Regions from separate parts of the Mus musculus genome. Here all the other regions are reported to be linked to region 1. Evidence: microRNA targets listed by miRTarBase, many of them from high-throughput screens and not tested one by one. Region 1 holds a microRNA gene; each other region holds the end of a gene's coding sequence.

Evidence for each region. Region 1 holds the annotated microRNA mmu-miR-295-3p (AAAGUGCUACUACUUUUGAGUCU, at 5,643-5,665, shown strand). A microRNA usually pairs through its seed, bases 2 to 8, with sites in the 3' UTR of a target mRNA and lowers its output. Matches are read on the target gene's strand: a 7mer-m8 pairs with bases 2 to 8, a 7mer-A1 pairs with bases 2 to 7 and ends in A, and an 8mer does both.
Region 2: miRTarBase lists Cdkn1a as a target of mmu-miR-295-3p. Seed matches in the 3' UTR shown: 7mer-m8 at 1,528-1,534 and 8mer at 2,200-2,207.
Region 3: the mRNA of Lpl is a reported target of mmu-miR-295-3p. Seed matches in the 3' UTR shown: 7mer-m8 at 5,669-5,675.
Region 4: the mRNA of Usp45 is a reported target of mmu-miR-295-3p. Seed matches in the 3' UTR shown: 7mer-m8 at 2,124-2,130, 7mer-m8 at 3,294-3,300 and 7mer-m8 at 4,126-4,132.

Annotation. Positions count from the first base shown.
Region 1 is chr7:3,215,173-3,223,291 of GRCm38, forward strand. It overlaps Mir295 (microRNA 295), which reads left to right and starts at 5,601; the gene lies at 5,601-5,669. It overlaps Nlrp12 (NLR family, pyrin domain containing 12), which reads right to left. Exons shown (of 10, transcript NM_001033431.1): 10 at 6,338-7,388. The coding sequence ends at 7,301. Mir290a (microRNA 290a) reads left to right here and starts at 3,454; the gene lies at 3,454-3,536. Mir290b (microRNA 290b) reads right to left here and starts at 3,523; the gene lies at 3,466-3,523. It also overlaps D7Ertd143e, Mir291a, Mir292, Mir292b, Mir291b and Mir293, and 1 more gene. RefSeq lists a cis regulatory region at 1-430.
Region 2 is chr17:29,098,301-29,106,419 of GRCm38, forward strand. Cdkn1a (cyclin-dependent kinase inhibitor 1A (P21)) reads left to right here. Exons shown (of 3, transcript NM_007669.5): 2 at 97-537; 3 at 1,044-2,422. The coding sequence starts at 108. The coding sequence ends at 1,093. Among named protein-coding and RNA genes, the nearest start is that of Cdkn1a, 8.6 kb to the left of the region's middle.
Region 3 is chr8:68,902,830-68,910,948 of GRCm38, reverse strand. It overlaps Lpl (lipoprotein lipase), which reads right to left. Exons shown (of 10, transcript NM_008509.2): 10 at 4,017-6,443. The coding sequence ends at 6,443. Among named protein-coding and RNA genes, the nearest start is that of Lpl, 26 kb to the right of the region's middle.
Region 4 is chr4:21,832,431-21,840,549 of GRCm38, forward strand. It overlaps Usp45 (ubiquitin specific petidase 45), which reads left to right. Exons shown (of 18, transcript NM_152825.2): 18 at 1,805-5,442. The coding sequence ends at 1,935. Among named protein-coding and RNA genes, the nearest start is that of Pnisr, 12 kb to the right of the region's middle.

The DNA.
Region 1 (8,119 bases):
GGACTTAAGAGATGCTTCTACATTTTTAACCCTAGGTGCTTTCAAAAGTGTTCTTTATGGAGCCCTTGAGCTGTATTAATGTATAAACAGGTATACTGCCAAACTCAAAGACCTGAAGGCAATCTCTGGACCCCAAGAGGTAAGACAGAACTCAGTGCTACAAGCTACTGTCTAACACCTATATGCTTCCATTTCACCTCTGCCCCTCCCTGCAACATACACCAAAAATAAAACTTTTTTTTTTTTTTTTTTTTTTTTTAGGCAGGGTTTCTCTGTATAGCCCTGGCTGTCCTGGAACTCAAATCCGCCTGCCTCTGCCTCCTGAGTGCTGGGATTAAAGGCGTGTGCCACCATGTCCAACAAAACATAATTTTAAAACGCTCACTGTGGGCCAGCTTGGTACAAGCCCATACTCGAGAAAGCAGAGAGAGATGCGTGGATTTCTGTGACTTGGAGGCCAGCCTGGTCTATATAGTGAGTTCCAGGCCTCTCTTGCCTAGCAAGATCCTGTCACAAGAAATAAGCAAGTAAGGAAGTGAGTGAGTGAATAAATAAATAAATAAATAAATAAATAATAAATAAAATTCTTAGGGTTAAGTTAGTGGGGCACTTTGCTTGGTTATGTTCAACACAGTATGAACAGGGAACAGAGTTGCCAAGGCCATCTTGGGAAAGTTGAAGAGAAGCTAAATCAGTAGCTCATCCCAGGCTAGGCTCCTGGCATCCTAGCCTAGAAAGATCCAGTCAGAAAGAAAGAAAGAAAGAGAGAAAGAGAGAGAGAGAGAGAGAGAGAGAGAGAGAGAGAGAGAGAGAGAGAGAGAGAAAGGAAGAAAGAAAGAAAGGAAGGAAGAGAGAGAGAAAGAAAGAAAGAAAGGAAGGAAGGAAGGAAGGAAGGAAGAGAGAGAGAGAGAGAAAGAGAGAGAGAGAGAAAGAAAGAAAGAAAGAAAGAAAGAAAGAAAGAAAGAAAGAAAGAAAGAAAGAAAGAATTATCCTTCTTGTTGCTGCTGTTTGAGGCACAGTTTCACTTGTAGCTGCTTGGCCTACCCATTGCTGGAATTAAAAGAATGTGCCATTATACTTGACCAAACCCATATCTCTATCTGCTTCCCCAAGCCTAAGACCTAGCAAATTGCTGGTGAGGCTTGTTTGTTCAATTAACAAGACATCTAAAGTATATTAAATATGCCTGGAATTAATGACTGAACTGGGCATACTGGTATATGCCTATTCCAGCCCTTGGAAGATTGGAGACAAAGACTTATGAGTCCCCACTAACCAAAGAACACACATGGGCTGGACCTAGGCCTCTTTGCTCACATGTAGCCGAGGTGTAGCTTGACCTTCATGTGAGTCCTAAACAGCTGGAGCAGAGGCTATCCCAAAAGCAGTTGCCTGTCCCGGAGTTATGATGGTCAAACTGGGCTGCTTTGTCTGGCCTCAGTGGGAGAGGAAGCACCTAGCCCCACAGACTGGAAGTGCTGGGGGGGGGGGGGCGACTCAGAGGAGAAGACTGGGGTTGGGGGAAGGATTGTAGAAGGAGGTGACCTGGAGGGGGGCAGTGAGTAGGATGTAGGGTGAATACATTTTTAAAAATTAAATTAATTTTTTAAAAATGTTCCATTACACACACACACACACACACACACACACACACACACACACACAAGGTGTAGACTTAGGAGTCCTAAATTATTCTTGGCTATTTAATGAGCTTATGGCCAGCTTGGCGTACTTGAGCCTTGTCTCCAAAAAACAAACAAACAAACAAACAAACCCTAAACTCCAAGTCTGCAATATGCCTCTGTAGCTTTAGCCCTGCCGCCTGGAGACCTAATTTCAATCCATGGAGCTATTTAAAGATATTTAATAAATAATAATAACAACAACAATAATAATAACAAAAGAAAAACAGCCGGGCATGGTGGCACACGCCTTTAATCCCAGCATTTGGGAGGCAGAGGCAGGCGGATTTCTGAGTTCAAGGCCAGCCTGGTCTACAGAGTGAGTTCCAGGACAGCCAGGGCTACACAGAGAAACCCTGTCTTGAACCCCCTCCCCCCCAAAAAAAACATATTTAAGCATAGGAGAAAACTAACTCTATCATATTGTTCTTGGACCTTCATATTCAGTGTGGGAAAGAAAGAAAGAAAGAAAGAAAGAAAGAAAGAAAGAAAGAAAGAAAGAAAGAAAGAAAGAAAGAAAGAAAGAAAGAAAGAAAGAAAGGTAAAAAAGAGGGAGGATTTGAAACTCTGGATTTAAAAAAAATTCAAACGAAAGAATAAACTGAACCTCCCACATTCTTCCTTTATTTATTTTTATTATTATCTTAATACTGAATGTAGCCCTGCCTAGTCCCGTGCCTAGTCACCATAGTAGACCAAGCTGGCCTTGAACTAACAAAGATCCTCCAGCCTCGGCCTAGAAAACTATAGGATTAAAGGCGCTGCTTCTAGAAACAAACAAAGAAATCTGTTTCCTCTGGGGGGTGGGGGGGAGAAGAAACCAGTGAAGGTCACTCTGCCGCAGGGAAACTCAGCTCAGAGGAAGCAGGGTGGTAGAGTAAGGATTCTCCGGGGTGGGGGAGGGGTATCAGAGCCTCCCAGTCCAGGGGGCCAATGAGCCTTCAGACTATATAAGAACCTAGAGCCTCCCCCACGCCTCTCAGAGACTTCTACTCCACATCGGGAATGCTGGTCTCTGCGGTCTTCAGGGATACCTCCGGCGTGCTGCTTCTCACATAGGCAAAGGTAATATTTTTAGTTTCAGATTTTTTATTTCCTTCAGTTCTGTGGTTTTAATCTACCTGGTTTAGAGAGGCGAAAGTAGATCCAGGATTTCCAGAAGAGAGATCTTCCTGCTTCAACTTTGGAGATGACTAGCCAGGCTGGCCTTTAACTCTCATTTCTGCCTGCCTCTCTGCCTCCAGATTAAAGGTCATCACGGCCATCTTCATTCTACTTTTTAAAAACTAGAGCCCCTTTTTTAAAAGGCAGGCTAGCCGCGAACTCAGCCTTCCTCGCTCGCCCCCACGGTTTGGCTGGGTTTACTAATCCCGAGGCAGAGGCAGGCCCATCTGAGGTTGGTCTGGTCTCCAAAGAAGACATTTAGAACTAATGTGTGTGGAAAAAGAGTTGGGCTTTTTTTTCTGACTTGGTCTACATAATTTCAAGGGAGGAACGAGCCTATGTGGGGAAAGTGAGTAGTCTGGGCGCGAGTGAAGTTTGGGGACCAGAAACCAAAGCTAGGAGTTACTGAGGGCAGGTCTAGGGAGTCTATGCAGTACATTTCATTAACTACGTGGTTTCATTGTAGAAATTTTGAGTTTCACTATACCTTGAGTTAGACCGATGTACTAACTCTTCCTTGATTTCATCCAGGTTTCCTTCAGGTTGGAGTGAATTTTAAGTTCTCCACGTTCTTTCCTCCTGGTAAATGTTTTAACGTCTGGACCGCCTCATCTTGCGGTACTCAAACTATGGGGGCACTTTTTTTTTTCTTTAAAAAGTGCCGCCTAGTTTTAAGCCCCGCCGGTTGAGAAAACGGCTATCTGGCACATTTACCAGCCCTGGTGCCACGTGTTCCGGGTTAACTGCAGCGTGGTGAGTACGGATTCGAAGAAAGGAATGAGACTGAGTATAGCGAAAGGCTAGGGATGGGCATCCTGCCCAGTAGACGGTAACTGAGGTGGTCGTTGTAGGGTACCTGGGGGCTCCATGTGCGTCCTGTCGCTGCTTGGAGCTGTTACACCTATGTAGCGGCCATCAAAGTGGAGGCCCTCTCTTGAGCCTGAATGAGAAAGTGCTTCCACTTTGTGTGCCACTGCATGGGGAAAACATCATAGCTTTGCATCTGACGCATCGGTTTACAGGAGCGGACAACCTGTGTGGGGGTTTAGGCTTGGAGTTTAATGGGTCCTATCCTAAAGAGGGCGGTTCAGTTGGGTGCCACGAGACGCGGATGGATGTAAGGCAGTCGTGAGTCCAGGTGCATTGTAGATTGTTCTTAAGCTTGACCTCCAGCCTGTGATACTCAAACTGGGGGCTCTTTTGGATTTTCATCGGAAGAAAAGTGCCGCCAGGTTTTGAGTGTCACCGGTTGAGAACTCAAAACGGCTAAGAACTAAGAATTAAGTTTTAGTGGGTCATGTTTTCACTGGGGTTGCATTTCTGGGCAGGTGGGTGTCACATGTGGGTTTGAGTCCGAACACTTGGGCGCATGCGGTACTAAAGGCTTTCCGCGTTCATAAAGGAGCCGGGATCCCACATGGGCCTCGCTCGGAGGAGCTGAGCCTCAGGTCTTGGAAGTTGGAACATACAGTGTCGATCAAAGTGGAGGCCCTCTCCGCGGCTTGGCGGGAAAGTGCATCCATTTTGTTTGTCTCTGTGTGTACATGGCGTCTGAAAAGCCGGCTGCAGCTGCAACCTGGAATCGCTTACCTGCTTGAAACAGGTATGTGTGCTGGAGGTGAATTCGTTGCCACTGGCTACTCGAGCTGCAAGGCTGGAGGTGAGGAGGAAGCAGGGCAGGGTGGAAGGAGGCACTCCAGGTCCAGGGGTGGTGAGTCTAAGCCTCAGGTCTGAGTAAAGAAAGGCCTACTTTTAAATCTCACGTGGCCGCCATATTAAGTCCTCTTTCAATTTTTTTCCTTTTTCTCCAAACAGGGTTTCTCTGTAGCCCTGGCTGTCCTGGAGCTAACTCACTTGTAGACCAGCCTGGCCTCAGCTCCATCCACCTGGGATTAAAAGATCCTATATATCTTGCTTGACTACTGTAGTTGCTATATCTTGCTTGACTACTGTAGTTGGACTGATGGTTGTGAGTCTTGATATGGTTGGATTGAATTTTTAGGACCTGCTGGCTGTAGCTGACTTTAACCTGGCTCCTAGCACAAACAAGCTTGGTGGACAGCCGGGTAGATAATACCCATAATACCTTTTGGCTTTACAATAGCCCAGGCTCATGAGGGCTGGGATTACAGGTGTTACATTGTGTGCCCTAAGCATAATCTTCATGGATTCTCTTTGTTTTTCAGGTGTTCCAGTTGAGTTGAATGTAATCCTGCCTAGCCTGGGGTACTTACTTGCCTTCAACCTGCCTGGCTGGCTGGTCTGGCTAAGAACTGACTATAAAGTTTCAGGTTTATTACCACAGCAGGTCCCTGTGGAAATGCTTCAATCTGTGGTACTCAAACTGTGTGACATTTTGTTCTTTGTAAGAAGTGCCGCAGAGTTTGTAGTGTTGCCGATTGAGAAACTGCAGTTGGCCTAAGTGTTGCATCATTTGGGTGTCATCTGTGGGTATGATTCAGTCTGTAATGGGGCAAAAGTAAAAGCTGAGGTGCACGGAACCTCACGGGAAGTGACCCAGATTTGACAGGTACTGTATTACATATAGCTGCATTTATCCTTTTGGCATTGAATAATCCTTAATCTTCAGTTCAGTTGTAGGCATGTTTGGATCTAGCGAAATTCCATATAGCCATACTCAAAATGGAGGCCCTATCTAAGCTTTTAAGTGGAAAGTGCTTCCCTTTTGTGTGTTGCCATGTGGAGAAAGCATCGGAACTTCAATCAACCAGAGACTCCTTGCTTGCTCATCTTGGTGAGACTCAAATGTGGGGCACACTTCTGGACTGTACATAGAAAGTGCTACTACTTTTGAGTCTCTCCTGTGGGCACCATTCACAGGTCGGCTGCTTTCATGCATGTGTAGTGTGTATCTGAATCCAGATGAAGGTTTCCTGGAACTGGGACATGTGGGTGCTATTGAATGAACCAAGGTGCTATGGGAGCAACCAGTGCCCTCAGCCTCCAAACATGAATAATAAAGTCTTGTTCTCTTGATTTTGCTGCTTTCTCAGTTTTTGTTTTAAAACACCCGCCATGGTTCCTAGGGATAAAAAAAGCTTGCAAGCATGCAAGCACCCTTTTAATCACTGGGGTTGAGACTAAAGGTAATCCTGGGCTATACAGAAAAACCCTGTCTGAAAAAATCCCCAAAAGTTAAACCAACACATAGCTGGAAGTGTTTTCAACAGTAATAGGGCACCTTTTGGGAGACACCCCTGTTTGCCTCTTGGGATTTAGGCATGCCACCCCTCCAATGGTTTTAAGGAAGAATTACCCTGTACTAGCTTAAAGGTGCCTTTAAGCATAGCCACATTTAAGCCCACATTTGTTTATATACTGTGAGTCTTTTCCATTTCTATACATCATGGCCAGTTCCTTTTAGTGGAGTGTCTGGATGGTTACAAGCTAACCTGAAATGGGGTGGTGCCAGGTTTTAAAAAGTAGTGGGTTGGGGAGCAGGGTGTGGGGGAGGATATAGGGGACTTCTGGATAGCGTTTGAATTTAATATAATAAAGGTAGATCTCTGGGTACTGTACTGGAAGTGGGCGGAGTTATCCCATTATAAGTGGTGGAGCTACCACGTGGTTGCTGGGAATGATGTCTGCCAGGCCTCACTAGTGTCAGGTCGTGAGTCATGCACAGCCATGATTTCTGCATCCTTGGCCACCTTGCTCAGTTTTCTGGAGTGTTGAGATTCAATGCGAACACCACCACAGCTGGGCAAAATCTAATAACCCAGGATAGGATGGGAGCATTGGCTGTCAACTATACCAGGTGTGCAAATCTTGGGTTTTGAGGCCTCATTTGTAAGGTGCCTTATACCTTTAGCCCCAGCCCACTTTTTTTTCCCCCTGCTGTATAAAATTCAGGTGTGAGTACAATTTTTCTTTTTAAAGATTTATAAGTGTTCTGTAGCTATCTTCAGATTCACCCAAAGAAGGCATTGGATCCCATTACAGATGATTGCAAGCCACCATGTAGTTGCTGGGAATTGAACTCAGGACCTCTGACTTAACCACTCCAGCCCTTGAGTACAATTTTTGAAAAATTACCTTGTGGGTCTTTATGCTGTGACTTGGCCAGTAGATGGCAGTCTTGGTCCATGGAAATGTCTAGGACTCTGGATATTTTTCCTTTTCTGTGGTCTTTACTGATCTTCAAACCTGCTAACCAGCCAATCCCCGTCCTAAATTATCTGCGTGGAATCTACATCAAACCCAGTGAGCTCCATCAAAGGTTGAGTGTTTAGGTCTCAAGCAGAACAATTTTGTCAACCTGCACTTACTGGGCCTCCTGACCTAAGACGGTCCCATGTAACAGGATGACCTTGAGTGATCTTGTCTCCACCTCACCATATACCAGAGGCTGGCCTTTAAAAGTTCCACCTCAAGTGCTTCAAAGCAGAGGGAATAAATATCCTGGTCGGCTTCATTCTGGTTCTCCTTACTGCTCAACACCCAATATCCAGGTACGGTTTTGTGACTCGAAGTGCTGCCATCCTCCTGTGAGTCTTTTTATTCAGGTCCATCCCAAACAGCCTGGGGACAAACATGGGACTATCAGTACAGTATGCTGCATTTTAGCCTGGTGAAAAGGGAGTCTCCCTACTCCTTTTTAAATATTTACTGAGGCTTGATCGTATGCTTCTGCTCTTGCACAGGTCAGTCTACATACAACCATTCAACCCGTTTAAATCCAGCTCCCAGGGATAGGACATCCCCTTCTTGCCTGTGGTTCCCGCATGCATATATATATATGTGTGTATGTATATATATGTATATATATATGTGTATATATATATGTATATATATGAATAATTAACATAATCTTAAGTGCATGGTAGTTGAGACAGCTCATGGAGCACTCACCTCAAACTTGGCCTCAGACTTTACAAGTACATGCCCTGGGATTCCGGAACATAACAAATGCAAATTTTTAAAATACTTGTAGGGTTAGTACATGTGTACACTTGAGTGCTTTCCTGCTGAGCCATCTTCCTAGCTCATCTTTTAAGATAGGATCTCACTAAGTTGCCCAGGCTGTCCTTGAACTTGGGACCCTCCTCTGAAGCTGGGATCCATACTCCTAGGTTTTCTTTGTTGACTGTATGCCATGATGTGTCAGCGAGACAGAGATGAGTTTTCTGTATGTGTTCTCTCCTACTCATGGGTCATGAGGACTGAACTCAGGTAATCAAGGTAGACGCTTCACCTGCTGAGCCCTCTAACCAGCCCTTTGTTTTATTCATATCAGTATTCTGCATACATGT
Region 2 (8,119 bases), not on the chromosome of region 1:
ATGGTGTGGTGGAAAAGCACCTGCAAGGACCAGAGGGAGCCTGAAGACTGTGATGGGGTAGTTTCCATAGTGACCCGGGTCCTTCTTGTGTTTCAGCCACAGGCACCATGTCCAATCCTGGTGATGTCCGACCTGTTCCGCACAGGAGCAAAGTGTGCCGTTGTCTCTTCGGTCCCGTGGACAGTGAGCAGTTGCGCCGTGATTGCGATGCGCTCATGGCGGGCTGTCTCCAGGAGGCCCGAGAACGGTGGAACTTTGACTTCGTCACGGAGACGCCGCTGGAGGGCAACTTCGTCTGGGAGCGCGTTCGGAGCCTAGGGCTGCCCAAGGTCTACCTGAGCCCTGGGTCCCGCAGCCGTGACGACCTGGGAGGGGACAAGAGGCCCAGTACTTCCTCTGCCCTGCTGCAGGGGCCAGCTCCGGAGGACCACGTGGCCTTGTCGCTGTCTTGCACTCTGGTGTCTGAGCGGCCTGAAGATTCCCCGGGTGGGCCCGGAACATCTCAGGGCCGAAAACGGAGGCAGACCAGCCTGACAGGTAAGGACAGGAGCAGAGAAGGAGAAAGATCCTGCAAGAGGCCTGGAGAGGAGAGGCCACCATTTGAGGATGGCCTTTACAGAGAACATTCCAGCCCTTCCCCACCACCAAGCCATTCCATAGGCGTGGGACCTCGTGGGGCTCAGAGGAACAGTTGATGTTCATATGATCCAGGCATTTTTCTCTGCAGTGACCGAAATGCCCAGGATAGTGTGGTGATTGGCAGTAGAGCTCTAAGAAGGGAGCCGGGCTGAAGAGATGGCTCAGCAGATGAGGGCACTTACTCTTGCTGAGGGCCTGATTCCCAGCACCGGAAATGACAACTTCCTATAACTAACTCTGGGCGTTGGGGGATCTACCCTCTCTAGAGCCCTGTCCCTCTGACCAGGAGGTGTTGTGCCCTGTGGCTGTGGCTTTTCCCCACGATGAGCCACATGTCCCTTAGACTCTGGGGAATGATGTCCTTCCCCTTGGCATCTGGCCTGACATCTGTTCTCTCTCCACAGATTTCTATCACTCCAAGCGCAGATTGGTCTTCTGCAAGAGAAAACCCTGAAGTGCCCACGGGAGCCCCGCCCTCTTCTGCTGTGGGTCAGGAGGCCTCTTCCCCATCTTCGGCCTTAGCCCTCACTCTGTGTGTCTTAATTATTATTTGTGTTTTAATTTAAACGTCTCCTGTATATACGCTGCCTGCCCTCTCCCAGTCTCCAAACTTAAAGTTATTTAAAAAAAGAACAAAACAAAACAAAAAAAACCAAAACAAAACAAACCTAAATTAGTAGGACGGTAGGGCCCTTAGTGTGGGGGATTTCTATTATGTAGATTATTATTATTTAAGCCCCTCCCAACCCAAGCTCTGTGTTTCCTATACCGGAGGAACAGTCCTACTGATATCAACCCATCTGCATCCGTTTCACCCAACCCCCCTCCCCCCATTCCCTGCCTGGTTCCTTGCCACTTCTTACCTGGGGGTGATCCTCAGACCTGAATAGCACTTTGGAAAAATGAGTAGGACTTTGGGGTCTCCTTGTCACCTCTAAGGCCAGCTAGGATGACAGTGAAGCAGTCACAGCCTAGAACAGGGATGGCAGTTAGGACTCAACCGTAATATCCCGACTCTTGACATTGCTCAGACCTGTGAAGACAGGAATGGTCCCCACTCTGGATCCCCTTTGCCACTCCTGGGGAGCCCACCTCTCCTGTGGGTCTCTGCCAGCTGCCCCTCTATTTTGGAGGGTTAATCTGGTGATCTGCTGCTCTTTTCCCCCACCCCATACTTCCCCTTCTGCAGGTCGGCAGGAGGCATATCTAGGCACTTGCCCCACAGCTCAGTGGACTGGAAGGGAATGTATATGCAGGGTACACTAAGTGGGATTCCCTGGTCTTACCTTAGGCAGCTCCAGTGGCAACCCCCTGCATTGTGGGTCTAGGGTGGGTCCTTGGTGGTGAGACAGGCCTCCCAGAGCATTCTATGGTGTGTGGTGGTGGGGGTGGGCTTATCTGGGATGGGGACCCCAGTTGGGGTTCTCAGTGACTTCTCCCATTTCTTAGTAGCAGTTGTACAAGGAGCCAGGCCAAGATGGTGTCTTGGGGGCTAAGGGAGCTCACAGGACACTGAGCAATGGCTGATCCTTTCTCAGTGTTGAATACCGTGGGTGTCAAAGCACTTAGTGGGTCTGACTCCAGCCCCAAACATCCCTGTTTCTGTAACATCCTGGTCTGGACTGTCTACCCTTAGCCCGCACCCCAAGAACATGTATTGTGGCTCCCTCCCTGTCTCCACTCAGATTGTAAGCGTCTCACGAGAAGGGACAGCACCCTGCATTGTCCCGAGTCCTCACACCCGACCCCAAAGCTGGTGCTCAATAAATACTTCTCGATGATTTATAATGTCTTGTCATTAGAGCAAATGGTGTGTGTGTGTGTATGTATGTGGTGTGTGTCTGTGTGTGTTGTATGTGTGTGTGCATGTGGTGTGGTATGTGTGTGTGTGATGTGTGGTGTGTGTCTGTGTGTGTTGTGTGTGTGTGTTTGGGACTGGCTACTTGTGCTGTTTGCACCCACCCGGGGGGTGTGTCTGTCTGTGTGTGTCTACAAGTGTACACGTGTGCAATAATTCCCCATCCCACTCCCCCAGTGATGGTACTTGAACCTAAAGCCTTGAGCAATATAGGCAAGAAAGCCATCACTGAGTTGTAGAACTCCATCGCTGAGAGAGTTGTAGAACTCCATCGCTGAGAGAGTTGTAGAGCTCCATCACTGAGAGTTGTAGGGCTCCATCGCTGAGAGAGTTGTAGGGCTCCATCGCTGAGAGTTGTAGGGCTCCATCCCTGAGAGAGTTGTAGGACTCCATCGCTGAGAGTTGTAGAACTCCATCGCTGAGAGTTGTAGAGCTCCATCGCTGAGAGTTGTAGAACTCCATCGCTGAGAGTTGTAGAGCTCCATCGCTGACAGTTGTAGAGCTCCATCGCTGAGAGTTGTAGAACTCCATCGCTGAGAGTTGTAGAACCCCATCGCTGAGAGAGTTGTAGAACCCCATCGCTGAGAGAGTTGTAGAACCCCATCGCTGAGAGAGTTGTAGAACCCCATCGCTGAGAGAGTTGTAGAACCCCATCGCTGAGAGAGTTGTAGAACCCCATCGCTGAGAGAGTTGTAGAACCCCATCGCTGAGAGAGTTGTAGAACCCCATCGCTGAGAGTTGTAGAACCCCATCGCTGAGAGCTGTAGAACCCCATCGCTGAGAGCTGTAGAACCCCATCGCTGAGAGTTGTAGAACCCCATCGCTGAGAGAGTTGTAGAACTCCATCACTGAGAGTTGTAGAACTCCATCACTGAGAGTTGTAGAACTTCATCACTGAGTTGTAGAACTCTATCACTGAGAGTTGTAGAACTCTATCACTGAGAGTTGTAGAACTCCATCACTGAGATTTGTAGAACTTCATCACTGAGTTGTAGAACTCCATCACTGAGAGTTGTAGAACTTCATCACTGAGTTGTAGAACTTCATCACTGAGAGTTGTAGGACTCCATCACTGAGAGTTATAGAACTCTATCACTGAGAGTTGTAGAACTCCTCCATCACTGAGTTGTAGAACTCCATCACTGAGAGTTGTAGAACTCCATCACTGAGAGTTGTAGAACTCCATCACTGAGAGTTGTAGAACTCCATCACTGAGAGTTGTAGAACTCCATCACTGAGAGTTGTAGAACTTCATCACTGAGTTGTAGAACTCTATCACTGAGAGTTGTAGAACTCTATCACTGAGAGTTGTAGAACCCCATCGCTGAGAGAGTTGTAGAACTCCATCACTGAGAGTTGTAGAACTCCATCACTGAGAGTTGTAGAACTTCATCACTGAGTTGTAGAACTCTATCACTGAGAGTTGTAGAACTCTATCACTGAGAGTTGTAGAACTCCATCACTGAGATTTGTAGAACTTCATCACTGAGTTGTAGAACTCCATCACTGAGAGTTGTAGAACTTCATCACTGAGTTGTAGAACTTCATCACTGAGAGTTGTAGGACTCCATCACTGAGAGTTATAGAACTCTATCACTGAGAGTTGTAGAACTCCTCCATCACTGAGTTGTAGAACTCCATCACTGAGAGTTGTAGAACTCCATCACTGAGAGTTGTAGAACTCCATCACTGAGAGTTGTAGAACTCCATCACTGAGAGTTGTAGAACTCCATCACTGAGAGTTGTAGAACTTCATCACTGAGTTGTAGAACTCTATCACTGAGAGTTGTAGAACTCTATCACTGAGAGTTGTAGAACTCAATCACTGAGATTTGTAGAACTTCATCACTGAGTTGTAGAACTCCATCACTGAGAGTTGTAGAACTTCATCACTGAGATTTGCAGAACTTCATCACTGAGAGTTGTAGGACTCCATCACTGAGAGTTGTAGAACTCCCTCACTGAGAGTTGTAGAACTCCATCACTGAGAGTTGTAGAACTTCATCACTGAGTTGTAGAACTCTATCACTGAGAGTTGTAGAACTCTATCACTGAGAGTTGTAGAACTCAATCACTGAGATTTGTAGAACTTCATCACTGAGTTGTAGAACTCCATCACTGAGAGTTGTAGAACTCCATCACTGAGAGAGTTGTAGAACTCCATCACTGAGAGTTGTAGAACTCTATCACTGAGAGTTGTAGAACTCCATCACTGAGTTGTAGAACTCCATCACTGAGAGTTGTAGAACTCCATCACTGAGAGTTGTAGAGCTCCATCACAGAGAGTTGTAGAACTCATCCATCACTGAGATAGTTGTAGAACTCCATCACTGAGAGTTGTAGAACTCCATCACTGAGAGTTGTAGAACTCCATCACTGAGTTGGAGAACTCCATCACTGAGTTGTAGAACTCCATCACTGAGTTGTAGAACTCCATCACTAAGTTGTAGAACTCCATCACTGAGAGAGTTGTAGAACTCCATCACTGAGAGTTGTAGAACTCTATCACTGAGAGTTGTAGAACTCCATCACTGAGTTGTAGAACTCCATCACTGAGAGTTGTAGAACTCCATCACTGAGAGTTGTAGAGCTCCATCACAGAGAGTTGTAGAACTCATCCATCACTGAGATAGTTGTAGAACTCCATCACTGAGAGTTGTAGAACTCCATCACTGAGAGTTGTAGAACTCCATCACTGAGTTGGAGAACTCCATCACTGAGTTGTAGAACTCCATCACTGAGTTGTAGAACTCCATCACTAAGTTGTAGAACTCCATCACTGAGAGTTGTAGAACTCCATCACTGAGAGTTGTAGAACTTCATCACTGAGTTGTAGAACTCTATCACTGAGAGTTGTAGAACTCTATCACTGAGAGTTGTAGAACTCCATCACTGAGATTTGTAGAACTTCATCACTGAGTTGTAGAACTCCATCACTGAGAGTTGTAGGACTCCATCACTGAGTTGTAGAACTCCATCACTGAGAGTTGTAGAACTTCATCACTGAGAGTTGTAGAACTCCATCACTGAGAGTTGTAGAACTCTATCACTGAGTTGTAGAACTTCATCACTAAGTTGTAGAACTCCATCACTGAGTTGTAGAACTTCATCACTGAGTTGTAGAACTCTATCACTGAGAGTTGTAGAACTCCATCACTGAGAGTTGTAGAACTCTCACTGAGAGTTGTAGAACTCCTCCATCACTGAGTTGTAGAACTCCATCACTGAGAGTTGGATAACTCTATCACTGAGAGTTGTAGAACTCTATCACTGAGAGTTGTAGAACTCCATCACTGAGAGTTGTAGAACTCTATCACTGATAGTTGTAGAACTCTCTCAGCGATGGGGTTCTACAACTCTCAGCGATGGAGTTCTACAACTCTCAGCGATGGAGCTCTACAACTGTCAGCGATGGAGTTCTACAACTCTCAGTGATGGAGTTCTACAACTCTCAGTGATGGAGTTCTACAATTCTCAGTGATGAAGTTCTACAACTCAGTGATGGAGTTCTACAACTCTCAGTGATAGAGTTCTACAACTCTCAGTGATGGAGTTCTACAACTCTCAGTGATGGAGTTCTACAACTCTCAGTGATAGAGTTCTACAACTCTCAGTGATGGAGTTCTACAACTCTCAGTGATAGAGTTCTACAACTCTCAGTGAGAGTTCTACAACTCTCAGTGATGGAGTTCTACAACTCTCAGTGATGGAGTTCTACAATTCTCAGTGATGGAGTTCTACAACTCAGTGATGGAGTTCTACAACTCTCAGTGATGGAGTTGTAAAATTCTCAGTGATGAAGTTCTACAACTCAGTGATGAAGTTTTACAACTCAGTGATGGAGTGCTACAACTCTCAGTGATGGAGTTCTACAACTCAGTGATGGAGTTCTACAACTCTCAGTGATGGAGTTCTACAACTCTCAGTGATGGAGTTCTACAACTCTCAGTGATGGAGGAGTTATACAACTCTCAGTGATAGAGTTCTACAACTTGGTGATGAAGTTCTACAACTCGGTGATGGAGTTCTACAACTTGGTGATGAAGTTCTACAACTCAGTGATGAAGTTCTACAACTCATTGATGAAGTTCTACAACTCTCAGTGATGGAGGAGTTCTACAACTCTCAGTGATAGAGTTCTACAACTCTCAGTGATGGAGTTCTACAACTCTCAGTGATGGAGTTGTACAATTCTCAGTGATGAAGTTCTACAACACAGTGATGAAGTTCTACAACTCAGTGATGGAGTGCTACAACTCTCAGTGATGGAGTTCTACAACTCAGTGATGGAGTTCTACAACTCTCAGTGATGGAGTTCTACAACTCTCAGTGATGGAGTTCTACAACTCTCAGTGATGGAGGAGTTATACAACTCTCAGTGATAGAGTTCTACAACTTGGTGATGAAGTTCTACAACTCAGTGATGGAGTTCTACAACTCAGTGATGGAGTTCTACAACTCTCAGTGATGGAGTTCTACAACTCTCAGTGATGGAGTTCTACAACTCTCAGTGATGGAGTTCTACACCTCAGTGATGGAGGAGTTCTACAACTCTCAGTGATGGAGTTCTACAACTCAGTGATGGAGTTCTACAACTCTCAGTGATGGAGGAGTTCTACAACAACTCTCAGTGATGGAGTTCTACAACTCTCAGTGATGGAGTTCTACAACTCAGTGATGGAGTTCTACAACTTAGTGATGGAGTTCTACAACTCAGTGATGGAGTTCTACAACTCAGTGATGGAGTTCTCCAACTCAGTGATGGAGTTCTACAACTCTCAGTGATGCAGTTCTACAACTCTCAGTGATGGAGTTCTACAACTATCTCAGTGATGGATGAGTTGTAGAACTCCATCACTGAGTTGTAGAACTCCATCACTGAGAGTTGTAGAACTCCATCACTGAGAGTTGTAGAACTCCATCACTGAGAGTTGTAGAACTCCATCACTGAGTTGGAGAACTCCATCACTGAGTTGTAGAACTCCATCACTGAGTTGTAGAACTCCATCACTAAGTTGTAGAACTCCATCACTGAGTTGTAGAACTCCATCACTGAGAGTTGTAGAACTCCATCACTGAGAGTTGTTGTAGAACTCCTCCATCACTGAGAGTTGTAGAACTCCATCACTGAGTTGTAGAACTCCATCACTGAGAGTTGTAGAACTCCATCACTGAGAGAGTTGTAGAACTCCATCACCGAGAGTTGTAGAACTCTATCACTGAGAGTTGTAGAACTCCATCACTGAGAGTTGTAGAACTCTATCACTGAGAGTTGTAGAACTCCATCACTGAGAGTTGTAGAACTCCATCACTGAGAGTTGTAGAACTCCATCACTGAGAGTTGTAGAACTCCATCACTGAGTTGGAGAACTCCATCACTGAGTTGTAGAACTCCATCACTGAGTTGTAGAACTCCATCACTAAGTTGTAGAACTCCATCACTGAGTTGTAGAACTCCATCACTGAGAGTTGTAGAACTCCATCACTGAGAGTTGTTGTAGAACTCCTCCATCACTGAGAGTTGTAGAACTCCATCACTGAGTTGTAGAACTCCATCACTGAGAGTTGTAGAACTCCATCACTGAGAGAGTTGTAGAACTCCATCACCGAGAGTTGTAGAAC
Region 3 (8,119 bases), not on the chromosome of region 1:
TGAACAAACTTTCCATAGCTGTGCCCAGCAGACCACTCTACATACGTTTTATCATTCAAATGACACCACGGAAACCTCCATGCAGTTTTGTGAGAAGACACTCCACCGTCACGATCCCATCAGACATGTTTGTAGCTATTACAGTCCTGGAACAAAGATGCCGTTTCTTTGCATGGTGATTAACTCACTTGCCTACTTCACCTACTACCCTTGGCTTGTATGTATACAAGTCCACAACTACAAGTTGACTCGATTCCTTGTGTTTTACTTGAGTTTTGGTAACTGTTCCTGAAAATCAGTGTTAGTAGGAATATTGGGAACAGTAAATAATTCGTCAGCAAATCCCTAGACTGCAAATTGATCCTTATACTGAGATTGCATGTAATTAGGGCTTCCTCCATGTCTATTACCCCTCTGTTCCTCCAGAAGTGAACAACATGGCCATCTAGAACCACAAACCAGTATCAACTGCATTTCTCTTCTTAATGAGAGAGAGAGAGAGAGAGAGAGAGAGAGAGAGAGAGAGAGAGAGAGAGAGAGAGAGAGAGAGTTTAGGACTGTGTGTTGCTGTCTGTGAGTTCAAGTGCACTCCTGCTGCTGTATGCATATGTGGGTCAGAAGACAACTGGGTGCTGGTTCTTACCTTCATCCTTCAGGCTGGCTGGCATGAGAGTCTCTATGTATTCCACTTACCACATGCTTTAAGAATGCTGGATTGGGTATCCACACAGGTCTTTTTGCATGCACCAGAGGCACTTTATTGAGCCACCACCCCAACCTCTCATTTAGCGCTTCTAGCAGCCTTCAAGCTGCCAGTTATTCGCATGTCTGTGTCCTAAAACCAACGTGAGTGTGTAAACCTGTTCTGACCACATCTTTATTTTCTTGCCCATCTCTTTGCTTATTTTTGCTTGTTCCAAAAAGCAAAAGTTATACCTGGGGGGGAGTTGTGTTTCATGCTTGAGTGGCTCTTTCTATACATAACCTTTATTCGTAAGCCTGTGGGGCTTCCCACTCAGCTTTACTGTAACCTAATCTCTGATAAGAAGACTGAGGATATCAAATGGAGAACTTTTTTCCCCCCATTGGAACTCTGCTGTGGGAAAGCATGTACAATGCCAAGTTCAAGTATTCCTGATTGGAATGAAATAGTATAAGACAGCCACATGAAGTTTGTAGAGTGGCAATGAGGACAACCAGACAGTTACTTCATTTCTAACATCCAGCCTGCAGGTCCAGTGCTGGTGGGATAAATAGGCAGCTTAAGGATTCCCTGAAGTGTGGGTCAGGAGTAACTTATTGGTTATAACCCTGAACTCCAAAAAGATCTAATGAGCAAAATAAAATTTCTTGTCTAGAACATTAGTGAATTAGTAGTTTCTAAGTAGTGTCTTAAGAGTTCAGTAGAGATTTTATAAGACCACATTCAAATTAGTTTAAGGCAAGAAGGAATCAAAATAATTCCATAAGACTGGTGGTGTAGCTCTGTGATAAAGAATGGGAAAGTCTGCACATGGTGATACTTACTTGCAATCTCAATTCAAAGGAAAGAGAGATGAGGACCATGGATTTGAGGACCAACAGACTGGCCTACTCCAAAACAAAAATAAAAGATCTGAAATAAAAAAGGAGCACTGTAGAAGGGCAGATATTTTTCTAGCATCATATACAAGACCTCAAGTTTGATCAACCACACCAAGTGGGGAGAAGGAAGAAAAAGAAAAATAACAGACAGCCAACAACATTTTTAAAGTGTGTGGGAGAAGGTATAGCTATGGAATCAAACAATAAAGACTTATGGATCCTAGGAAGATGTCTGGACTAGAGATTGGTGCAGGACTCAGGGTTCTCCATCAGGTTTGGCAAGGGGGCACAAGCTATGGTTTATATGGATGCACAGTGGCTATCCTGTGGAGTTATGTGCAAACATGTGCATCTCAAAAGAAACTCATCTTCAGTGCAGTGAGCTTGAAGGTAACCTCTTTCTGCTGCTCCCTTTCCTGTGCCATATCCTCCAGGCTTCTAGGGAGAGAGTTCAATTCTCTTCCTCTAGAATGTCCCAATTGCTGAGTCATCTAGGCCTAGTGACAGCTTATTTATCACACACAGTGTAATGACTGGAGAGGCATTCAGTAAGCTTGGCTAGGACTTGGGACACAATGCCAGCTGGCTTTTTCTGTCTCTTCAGCTAGACCTTTGTATATTCCAGGAAGGTTCCACCTTACCTCTTTAGTCCCTGTGCTGAAGGACACTTGACTACAGGTCCTCAAAGCTAGAAAAAGCAGACCACCCAACAACTTGCAGTTATGCTACTGGAAGTGCAGGGGGAAGTGGGCCAACTAATAGTCATGAAATTCACAAACCACAAGAATTTCATGAGAGTTTGTGTGCTGAACCAATTTTCTGGATGGCAATGTTATATAACTCAGTTGGCTATTCTTAGCTGCAGATCTCATTTGGTTGAAGAATGTCTGCATAAACAATCCTATCCTGTGGAAAAGTGTAGTATTAATAGGTAAAAACAGCAATATATGGGCAATCTGTTGTGTACCAATTCCCTTTGAAACAGGACATTTCATCCTGGAGGAATGCTAGGTAGGACTTGGGACACTCTAAAGAAAGACTTCTTCAGATTCAGGAAGTACCTTATAGCTATCAAGACTACCCTGAACCTTAGTGGAGTTGCAAGGCCCCTTGCTCCCCACTGTTGATATATGTAGCAAGGACTGAGGAGGAAACAGACTCTCCCACCTGGTGAGCTGTCAGCAAGTCACTCAGAGAGTCCCAGGGCTGCAGCTTTGATGAGTTGTCACGTGCATTAGAGTGTTCTTTCAGTTATGAAGCTTGTGTAAGTAAGCCCTCACTCATATTTCTGTAAGTAACGACACTAAACTCAGTCATAGCACTAATTTGTTCTGTTGTCAGTTCCTATCTGGAGTAAGCACACATTTATCCGTTGTTCTGTGTATGTGCATTAGTCTCTAACACAACATGGTAGCTTTACATTTATCCGTTGTTCTGTGTATGTGCATTAGTCTCTAACACAACATGGTAGCTTTGGCTATTGTCTACTCTGACCCCTTGAGACTATTCTACTTTACTCTGTAATAAATTCTATGTTCTATATTAACAAGAAAAGAAAGAAAGGGAAAGAAAGTATTGGAAATTAAACCCACCCTGCAGATAATTCAGTACAGGAGTAACTAACCTTCCTTGGTTCTTTCAAAACCTGGACTTATAAATGTTTTACTTACACGGAGTAAATTAGTAAGATAAAGCAAACTATGTATCTTTCATTTATGCCCTTGGAGCTTGACTAGATGTAAGGGAGCTAGCTCAAATTACTCATATGCTCAGAGTTCCAGTTTTGGGCTCTGAATGGTCTTAGCTGCAGTTGGTATCGCATGGTCCTCTCTAGAGTTTTATTAACGTGAATTCCTCCAGGTGAGTGCCCCAAGACAGAGTCAGCATGAAAGAGGGACCCCAGTGGAAGGTGAAGTCTACAATAACCTGAGTTTTTAGAACAATATGCTATAACTTATTCAGCATGCTCTTGGTCACATATATCTATGAGGGAGAGACTACACATATTCGGGTATTGACACCAAGGGTCAGCAGTCATTGGAGCAACTGTGGAAACTGATTTCTGCTCTGGTCCTGGTCCCGTTGTTCTGTGTATGTGCATATATGCTTAGTCTCCAGATGCGGTGTCCCATCTAGAGTATTGTGAGAAAAAAAAAAAAAGATGGGAGATGTAATAAACTTGTTGGTACCCAAAGTGTAGCAGTAGCTTATTGGGAAGTCTGGACATATGCACTGTCACAGAGCAGAGGAGCTGAGATTACATTGATCCATTTGATTTCCTTAGCTGGTCAGGCAGACATCTAATGGGAAACTTATTTTACTTCTATGTTTTAGTGGTTATTCAGTCAAAATTTGTTGTCTGAATCTGGCCTAAGAATAAATCTAATTTCTTCTTTAGAAAGGGCTAAATGATACAAAATGATGACTTAGTATCATGATAAAATGTTCTCAGTTTTATTGAAAGCAGATACCATTTCTTCACACAGGTGAGTTTTCTTCTTTCAAAAGCCTATTTCATTGTACTGTTTCATCAGAGTTAAGTTGGCTCAGTGAGACAGACAATCATGGATGGAGACGGACACAAAGTTAGCACCACAAATCTATACTGCAGATAACCACAACAGACTTTCCAGTGTTTACAAGCATTCTTACATACCCACACATTATTTACAGCTAATAAATAAATTGAAAGCTAAAGCATCATTGACATATGTATGCATGGATGTGTATATACTGTAATGAATTAGCAATAATGGGGATGCCGGTGACAAATTATACATATTTTTATTGTTAGAATTGACTCCAAACTTGATGAAATCGGTCACCTTTGTCCTATATTACATAGGCACAACCAGCTTTCTCCTAGCAAGGGCTAACATTCCAGCATATCTGGAACTACTTCTCTAACATATTCCAGTATATCCCTTGACTCTTTCCTTTCTGAATCACATTGAATGACGACTACACTTGTGGGGCTTTGCATGTGGGTTGGTGTTCAGATACCCACAAATTTCACAGTTTCTGCTCCCAGCTATAGCCTCTGAGATAGATCTTCTTTATCATTTTACATTAATGAATAATAAAAGCAATCTGAAAATGTGAGATCTCGTTCATAAATAATTCTTCATTATTGATTTTTGTTGTTGTTGTTGTTAAGGTAAAACAAAACAGCGGCAACAATCCTGGTACTTTCTATAGCTATTACAGTTGAGGGCTCTTCTCTTTGCACAGCAGTTTACAAGCATCCATATGCACATTTTCTAGTAATTTCAACTTTTATGTGATAAAAAAAAATGGTCCTGCTCTAAAACTTGTACTTTGCACAGTGCAGAATTTGAACTTGATCACATCTAAACTAGAAATTAATGTGATGTGTTAGAAGTGTGACAGAGGCATGGCGGAGATGAGTCTCAAATGAAATACAAAGTATTGGATATTGGGCATTTCAAATTGATGAAAACAAGTAAGAAAAATCTGATAATAAAATTACAGTTCTCAAGCTCCCAGGACACAGGAAGCTAAGGCAGGATGGTTGAGAGTTCAAGGCCAGCCTGAAATACATAGTTTAGTTCGAGGCCAGACTTGGTTACAGCATGGGACAATTGTGACTTTTTTCAAGAAAGCAAAAAAGAGAAGAAGTAAAATCAACCTAGGCATTTTTGTCTTTCAGCAAAATTTATGTGTCACCTCAATTACAAGCTCATTTTCTTTCTTTCTTTCTTTCTTTCTTTCTTTCTTTCTTTCTTTCTTTCTTTCTTTCTTTCTTTCTTTCTTTCTTTCTTTCTTTCTTTCTTTCTTTCTTTCTTTCTTTCTTTCCTTCCTTCCTTCCTTCCTTCCTTCCTTCCTTCCTTCCTTCCTTCCTTCCTTCCTTCCTTCCTTCCTTCTCCCTCCCTCCCTCCCTCCCTCCCTCCCTCCCTCCCTCCCTCCCTCCCTCCCTCCCTCCCTCCCTCCCTCTTCTTCTTCTCCTTCTTCTTCTTTTTTTTTTCCCAAGACAGGGTTTCTCTGTGTAGCTCTGGACGTCCTGGAACTCACTCTGTAAACCAGGCTGGCCTTGAACTCAGAAATCCTCCTGCCTCTGCCTGCCAAGTGCTGGGATTAAAGGTGAGTGCCACCATTGCCCAGCTTACAAGCTCCAGAGAACAATGTTAAAATATCTGACAAATATTTAAAAGATAGAAGGATTAAGTCATAAAAATTCAAGTCTATTAAGAATTACTCAGTCTAGGTTTTGTATCTCTGTTGACTTGTACTTTGTTGTGGTGGGACCAAGGGTCAGGACTTCATGAGCCATGTCTTCAACTGCTTTTGCCAAGTCACACGTTCCTGGTTACTTTTTTTTTTTTTTTTTTTTTGGTGGGGGGAATATATCCCAATGGTAAAAAAACTAGTTGCAAAGGCCAGGTGTTTCAATCACTAAAGAAATGGACCTGACTTATGCCACAAAAAATATTGTCTATATTAGACTTTGAGAAAACTTTGAAAAGGTCTCAATATAAAACCTCAGAGTTCTTACTAATTTTAGACCATGACCAAATGGGTCACATGATGGAGTCTTATATTGTTGGGAGCAAATGATTCCTTCTTAAGGGATACAAGACAGCATGTTTCTCCTGCCTGCTGTCTTCTAATGCTGGAAGACCTGCTATGGGCCATTAGATTCCTCACCCTGGGTTAGCCACCGTTTAATATTTGAGACTGTCTTCTGTTTAACTAACAAGATAGAGCTGGGATTAATACTCAGGAAAACCCACTTTCAAACACCCAAACAAGGGTATTATTTTTTTAAATTAAATTTACTTTGTTTTCTTCTGTCTTCAAAGAACTCAGATGCTTTCTTCTCTTGTTTGTTTGTCCAGTGTCTGAGGAAATACAGAAGAAAGGCTATTTAATCATCTGCTTTGTCTTCTACAAATCCATTCCCTCCCCAGCACTGTCAGGAGGAAGCAGTGACGTTCCGAACAGAGCTTGTGTGGTGCAGATTATAGATGTGGAAAAGCAGTAGTCTCCTGGGGCAGAAATAGAGAGGCCCCCATCTGAGCATCATCTTCAGAAGACCAGGTCATGTGATGACAAAAGTCACAAAGATTTCCTATGCTCTAAACATAATAGAAAGTCTGCTTCATTCTTTCTTTGTGGGCATTCTGAAGAGTTAACAGGGGACATTAGACTGAGAGTCTGTGAGTTAAAAACCCTTGAAGAGCACTGGCTGACTCATAATCCTAAATTTAAAATGCATTTCAAGTAATGGCTTCCTATGTATCTGTTGCTTAGAAACCCTATGAACACACCATAGACACATCATTGGACCTTCTCAGATGGACCTTCTCAGATGATTTCTTAGAAACAGGGCTATCTAAGTACTTCTTAAATAATTGAAGGTATTTTCTCAATTTTGGGGTTTTTACTTATTAAAGGGGCCTTTATTTTTATATTTAAATAGCTACTTAAAGTTGCAGATGGGCATGGGGGAAGGTAGGTGTATGTAAATGTGTTTGTGTGCATATCTAAATTTTTATACTGGAGTCCCCTATTTCAAAGAGGAGGTAAGTATGAAGTTTCCTTGGATCTATGATTTGGATTTCTCCCCTCAGTTAAGAGTCATTTGCCAGTTTAAAGCTGGCTAGCTCTTCTCCATGTCAAGTTCTCTTGGGCACTCACAGTGATGTTTGGGATCCATATGGCGCCTTCTTTTTATTCATTGCCATACCCCAGTGTTTGTGATGTGAGAACATACAAATGCCATGTATGTATAGTGACAAAGGTTATAAATACAACTGGTAATCACATGTCAAACGTTACTGATAAGACCTTACTGGTTTTACTTTGCTTCTGTCTGGTTTTCCTCATCTGTCCATAGTGAGCACATACAGGTTATATTTGGGTAGATATTTTAAATGACATGCTCATAGTAGGTCCTTAATATTCTTTTTCTGAAGAGGCTAACTTTATTTGGTACTTGTGCTTATAATAATCTAGAAAACAGGAGAAAGCAAAAACAAATGCTTTTTCTATGGCCCAGTGACTCTGTGACCAGCATCTGTTATTGTTTCTGTATCACTGCTTCTGTGGCACTATCTAGTATCTTCCTTTAATAGGTGTAACCTATTAGCACTTGGGGTCTGGCAGAGGAACAAGGGGGAGGGATAAAAACAGCGTATCCTGAGAGCTTGGTAGAGGAGATGGAAGGTCACATGCTTGGTCTCCACTTAGCATTGACGTGCTGGAAAGATTCTGCTGCCAGCTGCCATGGGGATTAGCCCCAGAGGTCACGTAGGACGGACAAGCCTGCAGTTGTTTTGAGATAGGATAACAGTTTCCTGTACTCTCACTCCATTTTTCTCCCCATATTTGGGGTTTTGACACAGTTTAGGTCTCCCCTGTGGTCCTGTCCTGGAATCTGTAGCTATTGGAGCAAGAAGGTGACCATGTGGCTACAGCTGATATGAGACACAGTGCAGAACATACAGCCACAGTGTTCCCTGCCTTTCAGATAACATCTATGTAGCTAACAGACTTGCAGTAGTGGGAAATTAAG
Region 4 (8,119 bases), not on the chromosome of region 1:
CAAGAATCTTAATCATCACAAAGTAATATCCTTTTAGGCAATATGAATTGACAATTTTTTAAAGTTACTTCAGAGACGCAGTAGTTCTTTGCTGTTGTTGTTTTTTGATTTTGTTTTTGTAAAAACAATATGTGTGTGCATGTGTCTGTGTCTGTGTCTGTGTCTGTGTACTGGTGTGCACAGCATAATGTGGCTGTCTGCGAGTAAATACCAGCAGTTTGTTCTGGCCTTCCATCTTGTTGTCCTGATTTTGCCCCTGGGCTGTGTATGTCAGGCCTGGGGACTTCTGGGCTATTCTCTTGCTGCTGCCTCCCATCGTCCCATAGGAACGCTGGGATAACTGACACATATCACTGATAGATGAGTGGTTTTGCCCTGGTTGTGGAGTCAAATTCAGATCATCAAGCTTGTGTGGCTAGTGCTTCTAACCACATCCTCAGCCACATTCCCCTTTTGAAGATACACCAGCTATCAGAGAGCGGGACTTGGAAACGTGCTAGCTATTACTGTAGGTCATTGAGTTTGCTTCTCCATTCCCTGGATTCCTTTCTTTTCAAAGGGTTTAGATTTTGTCAATGGGTGTCTGCGTGAATGTGAGGGTGTAAAGTGCACTTGCGCAAAGAGTCCAGAAGAGGGCATCTGATCCCTGGAGCTGGAGGTGCAGCGCTGGCTGCGATGCTCGCAGGTGCTGGGAACTGAACTCTTAATCATCTGCAAGAACAGTATGTGCCTAGCAAACACAGAAGTGGATGCTCACAGTCAGCTATTGGATGGGTCACACGGCCCCTAATGGAGGAGCTAGAGAAAGTACCCAAGGAGCTAAAGGGAACTGCAACCCTATAGGTGGAACAACAATATGAACTAACCAGTACCCGGGAGCTCTTGACTCTAGCTGCATATGTATCAAAAGATGGCCTAGTCGGCCATCACTGCAAAGAGAGGCCCATTGGACTTGCAAACTTTATATGCCCCAGTACAGGGGAACGCCAGGGACAAAAAGGGGGAGTGGGTGGGTAGGGGATTGGGGGGGTGGGTATGGGGGACCTTTGGGATAGCATTGAAAATGTAAACGAGCTAAATACCTAATTAAAAAAAAAAAGAAAAAAAAAGAAATTTTTAATTTAAATAAAGCCATCGTTGAGCCAGGAAAAAAAAAAAAAAAAGAACAGTATGTGGTCTTAACTGATGAGCCATCTCTTTTACCTCCCCTTTATTAGTTGTGGTGTTGTTAGGTTGTTGTTTTATTTTGACATAGGAGCTCACTATGTAGCTCTGTCTAACTTGAAACTTACTATATAGATTAGGCTGGCCAAAAAATCACAAAAACTACCTGCTTTTACCTCCCTTATGTTAGGATTAAAGGTGTGTACCACCATGTCCATCTCTGTTATTAGCTTTTAACATATATTTATTATTTGTGTGTGTGTTGTATGTATGTGTGCCTATGTTTGGCTGTCAGAGAACAATCTCATGTACTCAGTTCTCTCCTTCCACCTCTGTGTGGGCTCTGGGGATGGAGCTGCTGCCCAGGCTAGCACAGCAAGCCCCTTTCCTCCCTGCACCATCTCACCAGTTTCTCCACCTTCTTTTTTGGTGAAAATGAATATTTCTCTGGGAAACTAATTATTATAAGGCTAATATTTCACTAGATTTTTAAGTTAAAAATTTATTAACTGGAAGTAGTTATCAATCTTAGATCTTATAGATCTTAGAATTAAATACAGCTCATAATAACTGTGTCAGTGTTTACAATTTAGAAGACATAAACACACTAACTGTAAAATTGTACTTTCTGTTCTGCTAGGTTTGAAAGAACCTGATGGTGAATTGGGAGGCCACTGGGTCCATGTCAGCGACACCTATGTGCAGGTGGTTCCAGAGTCAAGAGCCCTGAGTGCACAAGCTTATCTTCTTTTTTATGAAAGAATATTATAATATCTGTTCATTGTTATTTAGTTCATTTTTATTTTAATGCTGAAGTCGTAACCATAATATGTAATGTGCCTTCTTAGTCTTTAGGAATAGTGCATCCTTCCAGCGTTATTTAACTCTTTCAACATGTGGTGAATCCTTTAAAAAAAAATTAATTAATTTGACAGGCAGTTGTGCATGCCTTTAATTCCAGCACTTGGGAGGCAGAGGCAGACAGATCTCTGTTTGAGGCCAACTAGGGCTATTCAATAAAACCTTGTCTTGAAATATTAAACAAAAAGTTAATTAATGCTTTCAAATCTATATTCTTTTTTTTTCTTTTTTTTTGCTTTTGTGAGACAGGGTTTCTCTGTGTAGCCCTGGCTGTCCTGGAACTCACTTTGTATCACTTTGTAGACCAGGCTGGCCTCGAACTCAGAAATCCACCTACCTCTGCCTCCCAAGTGCTGGCATTAAAGGCGTGCGCCACCACTGCCTGGCTCAAATCTATATTTTTAAATGTAAAAACATGTTTTATGTTAATTTTCATGTCCATGGAAATTGCCCCTACACACACACACACAGAGTTGATAGTAAAGCAACCCCCTCTATGATATGACTCATCCTTACATGCATTCAAAGATGATGCTAAATTGGATCTTTAGTATACTATTTCCTAATGTAATACAACCTTCCTGAGTGGATCCAATATATCTTATGCTACAATTTGCTTACTTTTTGTTGAAGCCTTTTTTAAGCTTGGCTGTTTTGAATCATACTTCACATTTTTATGTGCTAGTTATTTTTCTAGTAAACATTGATGTGAGTTTATAACTATGAAAGGAAAATCATACATCCTTGCACCACCCCACTTTAAATCATCTCAGGGCTCTGCAGTGGTGTGTGTGTTAGTCTATAGGAAAAGTTTCTAGAACAGTCTGAACTAGTGCCTAATGTAACATAATTAATTTTTCATATTTTATGTGAGTCAGTAGTATAAAAAGGAGCCATTGTAATTTTGGTAGTGTGAGTTTACAAGTAATGAATTGATTCGCTTATTGCTTTGAATATTTGAAGGTATTGAAACATTTCATAAACTAATCATTTGCAGTCTTTGAAAGATAATTTACAACACATAAAACTGGTAAATAGAAGTTATAGTCTATATAGGAATATAGAATACTTTAAAGTTTAAGGATATCTTTGAACTGTAAACCACCAAATTATATTTATAAATGGTAGAGATCATATTCTTATAACCAACAATGAATATATAATACTTTTTTACTTCTATACATTAATACATGTTAAGCATAGTTTTGTCTTCATAAGCATTTATTTAAAACTTCAGGTGGATAGTTAGGGTTGTAGTTCAATGGCAAAGCACTTGCCTGGTTCCATCCCTAGCAAAACAAAGAAAATATTCAGGTGGGCTTGGCTACTTTCATGGGACACAGACTTGCCACTTCTGTTCCCCTTAAATAAGCAGTAACACAGAATAGTTTCTTCTAGCATTCAAAGGATTGAACTGTGAAAACTTAGCATGAAAAATATTACTACCAAGATTTTCAATAATCAATGAAGTGGCTCACTGATACATAGTATTGAATCAAGATGTAAGGGAACAGGTTCAATGTCTTAGTCATCAGTGCCTGTGTTTGATTCTATGGGCAAATGTGAGGGAGAGAGGCTGTAAACTGTCCAGACCTTTAGCCAGGATGGAACCTTCTTAACATGTGTAACATAAAGTCCCCAGTGTTGCCTCTTGATATGTGGCTGGGTGAAACTGATTGTCTAATGGAGACATTTTAAGATTGTGGAGAAATTTTCAATGGTATTTGAATTTTTTTAATTGAAGGTGAAGAAATATATTTTATCTGTAGAGCCCAGTTGTGTCCTCTAAAAAGAACTTTCCAGTGTCTTCTGTTTCATCAGACATTCAGTGTTATTAATCTATTGACACGGAAGAGTCTAGCACCAGAGCAATGAATGAGAAAAATAATTTATTTGTTCAAGCTAGCCTGTCATAGCAGTTGCACCCACACCCCCAAACAAATGCAAGCGGTCAGCCTTTTTCCCCCCTCTCTCCTGGAAAAGATACTATTAAGACATGTACAATCTAAGCAGGTTCCAATACCGGGCATATGATAGTATTTTATGAGCCTTTAAAACAGAAAAACCTGCTGAGTGATGGTGGCCCATGCCTTTAGATTCAGCACTTGGGAGGCAGAGGCAGGTGGATTTGAGTTCAAGGACACCCTGGTCCACAGAGCAGGTTCCAGGAAAGCCAAGACAACACAGAGAAACCTTGCCTGAAAAACCTTGGGGAAAAAAAAAACACCCTAAAATCTATATGATTTTATACATTATTCTAGTAGTGATGTACAAATAAAATGTTCATTTATTACCTAGTTCTGAGGAGATTCTGGAATGTATTTTTTTTTAATGACCTAAAGTTTGAGTGTTTTTCTTGTCACCTGAAAATGTAGGAAAATGGTTTGATTTGATATCTAGGAATTTCTTATCAAGCTTATGTAATATAGAAAAATCACCCAGATCTACACTTAAATTTTTGTTCTTACTTTGAAGTTTTCCAAAGCACATTTGTAGAAATTTTAAATTGTGAGGCCACTGTACTAACAGATTACCTCAGGAAACCGTGCAAACAAACAAGAATGTTTACAGATCCGCACAACTAGTCAGTGCTTTGGCACCGTGAATTTGAAAGGTAAAAGAGAGAAGTTTTTATCTAGAAACTGGTTTACAGGGTACCTCTAGCCCCAGTTCTCCCCTGACTTTCCCATATTTAAAATAATAAAATTCTGATGATGTGCCAATTATGTGAATGCTTGTGACATAAACAAATATACATCTGTATTTAAGATTTGTTGTTTAATGTTTTAAAAAATAATATGAAGACTGCTTATGTAGGTGGTCAAGGGGATGATCATATATCAACAGAGCTATTTTACCATAGTTCTTAGCTTGCATGTGTGATTAATTAGTGATTTTTATGTAATACTTGAATAAGATATCCTGAAGATATGAAATGTCTTCGTGAAATGTAGCTGTGAAATGTCACCGCACATCAAATTTTTATAGTACAAAATAACATCCTGCCTACTTTCATGAACTTTATACTCAGCTTATTTTTCTGCATGACATCTGGTCATATAAACCTAAACCAAATATGTGCGATAAAATCAAGCTTTCAGCTAGCATCCATTGCAGTATTAGAGAAATGATTTCTGCATTAAAATGTTTTTGTTCATGCAGAAATCATCAATTGAAATGTGTTTAAAAGATGATTATTTTTAGGTATCAGTAATACATTCATGGTATCATTCCTTCTCTTTCATCCAGTTTTACAGTATTTTAAAAATATCTGTGTAACTTATTGAGCATTATTTGATCATTGCTGTATGTAAAAGATCACAATAAATATTAGATTCTTATGTTAATTGATTAGGCCTAGAGTTTTTGCATTATACATTGTTAGCAGAATGTTAATAAACATTGTGTCATTGCCTATTTTAGTTCCCTGGCTTGCTATAAACAAGATATAACTGAGGAGTTTGTGAACAACACTTTCTGGCCTACACTCTTAGAGGTCAGGAAACTGAGGACACAGACAAACAGATCTACTGTCCACATGAGGCTCTGGGGGTGCGCTCTGAGTGTTCACCTGGTCAAGGAGGAAGGGTTTCACAGTCAGAACCTAATCACTTTCTAAATACTCCACTTCACAGAACTTTCACATGGGGAGTTTGTGAATGGGGCACAAACATCTAGTTCATAGTGGCCTTCAAGTTCCAGGAATGCACTATTTTAAAATAAATTTGTCGCCAATCTAATACTAGGAGTTGTATCTATTAGTTCTTCCACTGAGCTACGTTTTCAGTCCAGAAAACAAACAAACCTGTCAGCTATTTCTCATAATGATTTGAGTTATTTAGATAGGATTGTGTCTTAGTCAGGGTTTCTATTCCTGCACAAACATCATGACCAAGAAGCATGGAAAGGGTTTATTCAGCTTACACTTCCATACTGCTGTTCATCACCAAGGAAGTCAGGACTGGAACTCAAGCAGGTCAGGAAGCAGGAGCTGATGCAGAGACCATGGAGGGATGGTCTTTACTGGCTTCCTTGGTCTGATGGAAAGATGGAATGGCCTGTACAGTGCCAATTAGGTGGTAATAGCATGAAAGGCTGGGGCAGAGTTCTTCAGAAGGCAGTATATGCTTTGAATCAGTGTTCGATATATGGTGCAGTTTCCCCCATAGCCAGGATCCATGGGTCCAGGAATCAAGGGGTGGAAAATGGAATAGTTCCACTTACTATCACTCCTAGTGACCCTCTGGGAAAATTTTTGCTTCCTGTCCCCATAACTCTAGGCTCTGCAGGCCTAAAAGTTTTGGCTCCAGAGAGGGGAGTGCTCCTACCAGGAGCTACAACAAACATTCCATTGAACTGGAAGCTCAGACTTCCCCCTGGTCATTTTGGGCTTCTAATGCCCTTAAACCAACAGGCTAAAAAAGGAATAACAGTGTTAGGAGAGGTGATAGATCCAGATTACCATGGGGAAATTGGATTACCTCTTCACAATGGAGGTAAGCAAGATTATGTCTGGAATGTAGGAGATCTCTTAGGGTGTCTCTTAGTACTACCATGTCCTGTGATTAAAGTCAATGGGAAACTACAACAGCCTAATCCAAGCAGGATGACAAAGGATGCAGACCCATCAGGAATGAAGGTATGGTCAATCCTCCAGGAAAAGAGCCAAGACCTGCTGAGGTGCTGGCTGAAGGTGAAGGAAATACAGAATGGGTAGTAGAGGAAGGTAGTTATAAATACCAATTAAGGCCATGTAACCAGTTGCAGAAACGAGGATTATAAAGTAATATGAATGTCCGTCTTATTTTGCTAACGAATATATTTGTCTTTCTTCCAATTTCTTTAACATCAATTTGTATTTAAGTTGAGACACTAAAAGGATGTTCCCAAAGGACATTGTAAATTTACAAATGTGTTTGCGATTGTACGAGGATAGTTATATCATGTTAGGTGTATTCACAACCTTGTTATTGTTTCATGTGAACATGAGATATTATTTGTGTCAAGTTGACAAGGGGTGGATTGTAGTGGCTATTCCTGGTTGTCAACTTGACTATATTTGGAATGAACCACAATCCAGAATTAGAAGGCTTACCATCGACCCTTATCTGGAGGCTTGGAGATAGAAGTTTCTGATCTAGATCTTGGTATGGAGATCTTGAGGCATAGTGGCTATGGATTCCAGAAGATTAAATCTCTGAGTTCAAGGTCCTCTGGGATTAAAGGTGTGGTAAAACACACCTTTAATCCAGGCTACACCTTCTGCTGGAGACAATATAAGGACATTGGAAGAAGGGAGTCTAGCTTGCTCCCTCACCTGCTTGCCGTGTGGGACTGAGTAACTGCTAGATCCTTGGACTTCCATTCATAGCTACTTCTGAACCATTGTTGGGAATTGGACTGCAGACTGTAAGTCATCAATAAATTCCTTTACTATGTAGAGACTATCCATAAGTTCTGTGACTCTAGAGAACCCTAACTAATACAGATTGTATACTAGGAAATATGTTGTGTACATGTCTGTTTGTTTGTTTTAACTCTTTTGGAGTCATAAAGCTTTCAGAGGTTATGATGAAAATTATATACTTTTTTTTAGAGTATATAAAGGCAGGTTTATTGGGATGTGGGTTTACTGGTCCCAAGAATGAGGACAGGGAAGTTGCCGTGGCAAGGGAGAAAGAAGGGAGGTAGATGAGAAAGAGTGTATACATTCAGAGAGAAGAAAGAGAGAGAGAGTTATATACTTAACATTTTTATTTGATCATTTATGTGTGATGGTTTCTATATTCTTGCCCCAGGGAGTGGCACTATTTGGAAGTGTGGCCTTGTTGGAGTAGGTGTGACCTGGTTGGAGTAGGTGTATTACTCTGGGCATGGGCTTAAGACCCTCACTGGAGCTGCCTGGAAGTCAGTCTTCCACTAACAGCCTTCAGATGAAGATGTTGAACTCTCAGCTTTGCCTGCACCATGCCTGCCTGGATGCTGCCATTGCTTCCTGCCTTGATGATAATGGACTGAACCTCTAAACCTGCAAGCCAGCCCCAATTAAACGATGTCCTTTAGACTTGCATTGGTCATGGTGTCTGTTCACAGC